Cricetulus griseus: one gene and its partner. The protein of the gene in region 1 interacts with the protein of each later gene in a biochemical or structural test. Links are inferred from orthologs where the notes say so. Each region holds a gene or a part of one and is shown on either strand. Other genes may lie near its edges. The genes, in order: Ube2b and Rnf40.

Region 1 (4,481 bases):
TACCCATGCTAGCTACTCAAAGGGGGCTGCAGGCCAGCCTAGGGAACTCAAGGAGACTGTCTCACTGTTTTTCCCAGAGACAGTTTCTCTCCATGCAGTTCAATGTGGCACGGGATTTGCAATCCTCCTGCCACCACCTCTATCATGCTGAGGTTGTGCTCAGCATGTCATACCCGGCTCAATAAATATTTAAAGGGCCGTGTAAGGCCCTGGGGTTCTATCGCACACCTCAAAAAGGAGAAAAGAACACTTAACCTTTAACTTAGTCGCATTGTGAGTGCACAGCAGCGGCTAGGGGGAGTTAGACCTACCTAACAATCCTCAAGGTTACTTTCTTTACGGTGGTGGGGGCGGGGAAGATGAGACGTCCTCAGGCTGCCCAGGGTGGCCACCATTCCACTGTCACTGAGGCTACCTTTAAACTCCTGATCCTTTCCACTACCTGAACGGTGGGATTAGCAGAATGCACCAAGTCATCGGGTTCTCAAGGTTACTTTAAATGAAGAGAAAATTCAGAGTTTGAAGACAGTGGCAAACGTAAACCGTTCCTGGTTTCATGGAAATATAGGCAGGAGTGAAGCGGTGGATTCTCATTCCTTTCCTCCTTCTACAGCTAAGAATTCCGCGTCTACTAAAATGTTCGGTACCGTAGAGTAGCAAACTGGAACTAGAAACGGAGGGTGGGTATTCTGTGACTCGGAAAAGGAGAAGCCTGCAGGGTCAAGGCTTTTGAACTGCTGCACGACCGGGTTCTTCCTGTCCTTTTGCACTCTCCTTGCAATTATTTCAAAACCCATAATGAGTTATCTTAAGACTCAAGAAATACCTCCCACTCATGTCTGCTCGATCTCTCCCCGATCTGAATCATTTTTGAAGGTTTCTTTGACGACCAGCAGCCCATTGATATGCTCTAAAGTCACACCTCCACATTGTGCCTCAAACGCAGGCAGATTCAGATCCCAACTAAGGAAAGTTCTGTGCAGTCTTTAAGGGCTATTCCAGTCTCATCTCCGTATCCCACTAGCACCAACAGGCTACTGGTCCCAGTGACCGAGAGCCCATCTCATCTGCGCCGACCTTAGCATTCAAAGCTGTTTATTGTAAGTCTACGCGACCCTTTCAGTACCTGCTCCACGTACCAGAGTTGCTAAGTCACTTGAAACAGAATTAAATCCAGATTTTTTTTTGTTCCGTTTTAAAGACTTAGAACGCAAGCGGCTCCTTCCACAACGTCTCCTTAGGCAAAGTCCTTATACTTGGGGCCAAAAGAACAAGGTATAACTAGAGGTGTCAAGCCCAGAAACTCAACGACCTGCCTCCTTAGACCCCAAACCAAGAGCGAGTCGACGCTGTCACGTGACCTGTTCTAATGGCGTCACAGGAACACGTGGTTCTAGATACTTCGCTCCCTCCCCCTCAGGGGTGGATTGTTGACAACGCCGCCAGTGGTCACGTGACCTGACGTCATCCCACCTCCTCTCCCTGAAATCTCAGGCTCCGGATGCGTCCGTCTCTCCCCGTCCGGCCGAACCTGAAACTAGCAACGGGGGGAGAGAGTCGAGGTAGCATGTGGCCTCCAGCGGCCTTGACCCTGCGGTGTCCAGCGTGAGCAGGGAGCGGAGTCTGCCCAGCTCCCCACAGGAAGACGGCCCGGAAGACGGCCCCTTGCGCCGGCCGGTGCCGCGCGCGCGCCCGCTCGCCCCGCCCCTTCCCCCCTCCTCCCGCGGTGGTACTGGCGGAGGGCGGAGGGATCTGGAGGCGGCGGAGGGAGACGTCATTGCAGGGTTGTTTGTGCAGTCTCGGCGGCGGCGGCGACCCACAGTGATTCGGCCGCTGCGCCGGGGGGTGGGGGGGCCGAACGGGACTCTTTTCTTTCAGACTGACCGCGGGGCAGCTGCGGAGCATGTCGACCCCGGCCCGTAGGAGGCTCATGCGGGATTTCAAGCGGTAAGGGCCCTCGCCTTAGTCCAATATGACGGCTCCTTCCCGAATCCGTAGGACTGCAGGGCGGGGATCCGGGACCTATTCCCCTGTTGACCCTGAGGGGGTGGACTGTGGGCCTCCGGCATCCGCGGCAGTCCCGGTTTACCGGCGGCTCCCACTCCTCCCTCGCCTGGTACCTCCTTTTGAGTAAAGATGGTTGGTACTACTGCCCCCTGCCCTTCCCCCAAAGAAGTAAGAAGGCCATCGCTGGGCCTAGGTGTCCCCAAGGCCCACCTAGGCCAGCTGTCGCCGCCTCATCTCCTGCCTCTGTGCCCTGCGGCGTCCCCTCCCCAGCCGGTGCGAGTGAGCTCCGCTTGAGGCTGGGGCTTCGCTTGGCAGACCAGTCCAGCTTTGTTAGAGCGCCCCGCGGCCTCCCGTTTGGATTGGGGTTAGGGTGAATATTGCCCCATGTCCCTTCCCTTTCTGCAGTGATGAGGGTGGGGTCTGCTGCGCGAGGGCCGGAGGTGGTTAGCCCATCCCCCGAAACCCGATTCTGCCCCCGCCCACCTGGAAGGACCTTGAGAACTGGCTCGGGAAACCTGGGCCAGGAGATGGTCACTCGTGCTGCCAATGCCTTCTGGAACTGAGATCTGGCTGCCGAATAAAAGCCTATCTATAGCCTCCCTAGCCTGGAAAAATGCCTTCCGTCAGCCTGATGCTAATCTGATACTCCACCTGGGCGTTCTTTTGGAAAATAGTGGTTTGTTGGGAAATACGGGGCTTGGAGGAAGAAAATGACCTTTTCCCTCTTCCAATTGTTTGTCTTTCTTTGGAAACGTACAAGTGCAGAAACTACCTGAAGTCCAGCGTCCAGATAGTCTTGTTTTCTTTTGGGGGCAGACTTGCCGTGATTGAGACAAATCTGTAATATAGAAACTTAGATTTGCCGCTCAGGAAGTAACCTCTTAACTTCGCCATTATAGAGCCCTGTGTGAAGCATTTAGAAGCCATTGTCTTGGACCCTAGACATTATTTAATTCATTTGTTGATGCTTTTGGCCACTTAAAAGTGGGGAGTCAAGCAGTAAGTAGTACTTCCTGTAAACCCTATCAGCGGCCTAATCTGCTTGAGAGTGACCAAACAGTACACTTTTTATGTGGACTTGATTGCCAAGTGTCCTACCATCTGAAAATAACATATTTCATTTGTGTGTGTGTGTGTGTGTGTGTGTGTGTGTGTGTGTGTGTGTGTGTGTGTGTGTGAGAGGGAGAGGTAGAGGTTTTGTTTTTGTTTTTTAATCTGACAGGAAAGGATGCCCTTTTTTGGTGCAAAAGTCACCCAGGGCTTGAAGTCACCTTATTTGATTAGCTCCATGACTGAAACGCAAATAAAACTTCCCAGTTATATCCATTGTTATCTCTTGCTCGTTTTTTTGCAATTCTTTTATTTGATTTTAAGTTGGTAGTTTTCCAAGGATCTTCAGGTTACAAGAATTTGATGATGACGTCTGTTGGAAGCTCTGTGAAGTCCTGGTCTGAGGTAGATTTGGCCTTTGAACAGCTTTTAAAATTGGCTGCTTGGAAAACTAGCAGGAGCTTCCGGCTACTTTAGAAAGCCACTGTCTGAAGCACAGGGCACGAAATAAAACTTGCTTTCTAGTTAAATTGAATGTGGTTTTTAGTCATTTAGAGTATACAGAGATTGACTACAATTCTGTGTTGTGCAGTGTCTGTGGTTAGGACTGGTGATCCTTGCATGGTTGAGGTAGGAAATTTGCAGGTTCTCCCTTTTTCTTTGTTTTTTTGTTTGTTTGTTTTTGTTTTTCAAGACAGGGTTTCTCTATGTAGCTCTGACTGTCCTAGAACCCACTATGTAGGCCAGGCTGGCCTCCAACTCACAAGATATCCACCTGCCTCTGCCTCCTGAGTGATAGTTTTCTAAGGCATATGCCATCACCACCCAGCACAAGTTGCTGGTTGTCTAGCCATATTTTTTACTGCTAAGATTATAACTCTTCAGTGGGTTAAGAGTGCAGTCTGGAAACATGGGTCTTCAAGAGACCACATCTTAAATCTTGTGGTTTGAAGAGGGATGATCTCTTAGCCCTTTGGACTTAGAGATCACTTGTACTATTAATAAGTTTATTAACCTGGTTGATTCATTTAAGTTGTGGTTCATTCTGGCTCCATCGATAACAAGAAAGTCAATCTAGCCAGTCTTTCAGAATAGGTTCAGTAGAATTTGACCTTGGTGACCTTTATGTTAACTCTGAAAATGACCACTCTGGATTTCTAGATTGCAAGAGGACCCACCCGTGGGGGTCAGTGGTGCACCATCTGAAAACAACATCATGCAATGGAACGCAGTTATATTTGGGTGAGTTGAAATAGTTACCGGATGACAGGTGTGTGGGGACTCCGGAAGAAAAGTAAGTATATAAGCACTAAGGAAAGAGACTGAGGGAGAATCTGAAACTCACTGGGTGGGGTGGAGGTGGGTACCACTTCTTTAGAGAAGCTGGCATTGAACCCAGGGCCTCATGTGTGCCTGCTTACTGG
Region 2 (3,806 bases), on another chromosome or scaffold:
AACTCCTTCTCCACACCCCCAAGGCTGCCCTGCAGAGCCCGCTCCTTTTCCTCAAGCTTCTGCACTGTCAGCAGCTGGGCATCCACCTGCGGATGGGAGGCCTCAGTACTGGGTGCAACCTCTCCAGCTTCATCCACAAGTGTCACACCATAGCTGCCATACCTGAGACTTGAGGCCAAGAACCTGCTCGCCCAACTCATCCTTCTCCTCTCGGAGCAGCTTGTGAATCTGGTTGGCCTTGATCCGCTCTGACATGAGTTTAAAGTTGGCGTCATCCTTTTCCCGCAACTGCTGCAGCAGCCGCCCATTTTGCTCCTGCATGTCTTCAAAAGCCTGGCCTGTCACATCCATCTCTGACAGCAGTGCCTCTTCCTCCTGCAAGGGGGAAGGAAGGAAAGATAGAAAGTGGCAGATTAACAAGATGGCTGCTGGGAACTCCCAAGAAAATAGTATGTACCCAGACCATCAAAATGTCACACACTAAAGGCACTTAACCAGCAACCACAAGCAAGAAGGGAATCTCACCTGCTTAGTGGCACCCAATTTGCGTTGCAGGTGTTCTATCTGCTCCTCTGCCTGCCGGATTCGTCTCAGGGCATCCTCATCTGCAATCTTCTTGCTTTCTCTTCGATCTCTTTCCTCCAGTTCTCGGATGCGGCCCCGAAGCTCATCCACCTGCATTCATGGGAGGGAAGCTCTCAAACATTGGTCCGTCCGCACAGCGACACCACTACTAGCTTGCTTTGCATAGTGACAGAATTCAAAAAGCAGCAAACTTGCTGACCCCAAGGCTCTGAAGTCCCTGGGCGAGACTGTGCATGCCCCGCCCCTGGCCCTTACCTCAGCCTTGGCCTTCCGTTCAGCTGCCATCAGCTGCACCTTATCCCGCTGTTCCTTGGGTGCAGACTTGTACATGTCCAGCAGCAGCTTCATCTCCTTCTGACTCTCCTGGGCCTTCCTAGAGAAGGGTACAGAAGGGGATCTTAGTAAGAAGAACTGAAAGCTACTTGACAGGGGAGGAGACAGCAATAGGGCCTCACTTGAGCTCTGCTCGAAGACCCTTGAGCAGTTCTGACTCTTTCCTCTTTGCTTCCTCAACCTTGGCCTTTTCTCGATCAGCCCTTGAGAGAGCTGAGGCTACAGGTGGGGGCCCCAGGACAGGCCCTTCCCGTTCCCGAAGTTCTCGCTTGGGTCTGGCCTCAGGTTCTCGGCCTCGAGAGGGCAAGCCCTGGTTTCCAGGGGTTAGGGCCAGGGCATCATCTTCAGAGGAGACCAGCTCCTCCTTCTTTACTGAAGAAGCAGCAGGGGTGGCTCCAGGCACTGCAGCTATCTCCTTTTTGCTGTCAGGAGTACCTCCAGGGCCTGGCCCACCATCTTCTTTCCCTGGGGCTAGGGCATTGAGGCCAGAGTCATCTGGGTGGCTCAGGCTGGGGATGCAGTGGGAAGAGCCACTGGCCTGGGCCCGGAGCTGTACAGACAGAGAAAAATAGGAATGAGGTGAGCCACTGCCCACTAAGATCTAGCGAAGGCTTTCCCCAGGCAGCTCCCTCTCCTTACTTTGCCAATCTCAGCCTGTACTTCTCGAAGTTTCCGCTTATATCGCTGGGCATCCCCTTTTAGCTGGTGATTATGATTCTGGAGACTGCTAATCAGATGGCGCATCTCACGGTTGATAGGCCCTGAGAAAAAGTCAGAAAGTGGGTATGTAGGACGATCTCCTCCTAACTCTCCAACTCCCCAGAAGGGAAAGAAGCCAAGCAGAGCCCATACTCCCATTGTACAGAAAGGGAAATTCTGCCACTCACGTGGCAGCTCACAGTTCCAGGTGATCTGGTGCCTTCTGGCCTCTGTGAGCACCAGGCACACATGCAATGAGGTGCACAGACACATGCACGAAAGCGAAATACTTATACACATAAGCATTAGGCTTTAATCCTGTTATGTGTGTTTTACTTACATGTATGTCTGTGCACAATGTATGTGTACTGTAGTGCCCCCAGAGGCCAGAAAAGGACTTCGGACTGCTGAGAATTGTGGGTATTGGGATAAAATCTGAGTCCTCTGGAAGGGCAGTCAGTGTTCTTCCCCACCCCAACCTTCCCTGACTTCAACTCCCAGAGACAGGGTTTCTCTGTGTAGCCCTGGCTACCTTGGAACTCAGTCTGTAGACCAGGTAGGCCTCAAACTCAGATATCTGCCTCCCAAAAGCTGGGATTAAAGCTGTGCGCCACTACCGCCTGGCTGTAGTCAATGTTCTTTAACTACTGAGATATCTTTTCAGCTGCGGAAGGGATGGGGGTGGGGAGGAACAATACCTTTTTTTAAAAGATTCATTTTTATTTCATGTGTTTTGCCTATACACCCTACCTGGCCTGGAACTTACTTTGTAGACCAGGTTGGCCTTAAACTCAGAGACATCCACTGCCTCTGCCATCTGAGCGCTGGGATTAAAGGCTGTACAAGCATCTTGATGTGTCCCTGCTTCACCTCTACAGGAATCTTCCATGGTTTTTCTTTTATTGTCGTCTATCACCCTAGAGTTTACTAGAGTCACTCCACAACAGCAGAGATTCTTCATTTATTGGCAGAACCCCAAAACCTAGCATTGAGTGTGGCTCACAGGGAGTACTCAATAAATCTTTGTGAGACAAATCTCTCAGAGGTTAGACCAGCTCACAGTCTGGTGACACCTGCTCAACTTCCCATCCCAGCTGCTATGACACTGGGAGTGACACAGGTAGTGAGTGTAGTGCCTGTTTTCTGTGGCCAATGGAGACTCGGAGAAAAGCTCCTCATTAAATCTAGATAAGCAGCCGCAAGGTTCCAGCACCCTTCTAGGCTTATCTCTACCCAATCCCACCACGTACCAGCCTGCTCGTTGGCCGCAAGGTTCTGTTCAAACTCAATGCGCAGCATCTCATACTCCTTTCGTACCTGGGCCAGGGTATCCTCCAACTGGATCACTTCTGTGCGCAGTTTCTTCTGCAGCCCCAATTCATCACTCTGTGGGTCGAGGCATTTAAAGACACAACCGTATGAGAATCCTACCCCCATACTAATGAAAAGACCTAATTTTTGCTTACAAAGAAATAAAGCTGGCAGACGGAGGTGGCACATGCCTTTAATCCCAAAACTTGGGAGGCACAAGCTGAATTCAAGGCCAACCTGGTCTACAAGGTGAGTTCCAGGACAGCCAGAGATACACAGAGAAACCTTGTCTCAAAAAGAAAAAAGAAAGAAATAAAGCTAGCACTGGTCACTTAATCTTCTATCTCTCCAGAAAAAAAGGACTCCAGTAATCGAACGTAAGATAGATAAATACACCAAGCATCATGGTGTATGCCTTTAATCCCAGCACTCAGGAAGCAAGGGCTTGTGGATGACTTACACTGGAGGCCAACCTGGTCTATATAGTGAGTCCCAGGCTACCCAAGCCTACATTCTGACACCTTGATAGAGAGATGGCTCAGCAGTTAAGAACACTGGTTGCTCTTCCAAAGGACCTGTGTTTGATTTCCAACCCATATAACTGCTCACAACCCTCTGTATCTCTAGTCCCAGGGGATGCAACACCCTCTTCTGGTCTCTGTAGGCACTAGGCAAACTGTGCTGCACATGCATATATACAAGCAAAACACTTATTTATTTATTTGTTTATTTATTTTTGGGTTTTTTGAGACAGGGTTTCTCTGTGTAGCTTTGGAGCCTATCCTGGCACTCGATCTGTAGACCAGGCTGGCCTCGAACTCACAGAGATCTGCCTGCCTCTGCCTCCTGAGTGCTGGGATTAAAGGCGTGTGCTACCA

The links.
Region 2: the proteins of Ube2b (region 1) and Rnf40 form a complex in vitro, tested with the Homo sapiens proteins (3 studies listed by BioGRID). The link is inferred for Cricetulus griseus from reciprocal best matches to the Homo sapiens genes UBE2B and RNF40.

What each region holds. Positions count from the first base shown.
Region 1 is NC_048600.1:66,264,511-66,268,991, reverse strand, and holds the start of Ube2b (ubiquitin-conjugating enzyme E2 B), read left to right. Parts: upstream 1-1,484; 5' UTR 1,485-1,562; intron 1,563-1,878; 5' UTR 1,879-1,903; coding exon 1,904-1,947; intron 1,948-4,218; coding exon 4,219-4,299; intron 4,300-4,481. UniProt on the Homo sapiens protein: E2 ubiquitin-conjugating enzyme that accepts ubiquitin from the ubiquitin-activating enzyme E1 and transfers it to a E3 ubiquitin-protein ligase. In vitro catalyzes 'Lys-11'-, as well as 'Lys-48'- and 'Lys-63'-linked polyubiquitination.
Region 2 is NC_048596.1:73,159,178-73,162,983, forward strand, and holds part of Rnf40 (E3 ubiquitin-protein ligase BRE1B), read right to left. Parts: intron 3,004-3,806; coding exon 2,868-3,003; intron 1,680-2,867; coding exon 1,558-1,679; intron 1,469-1,557; coding exon 1,041-1,468; intron 959-1,040; coding exon 841-958; intron 676-840; coding exon 526-675; intron 376-525; coding exon 163-375; intron 87-162; coding exon 1-86.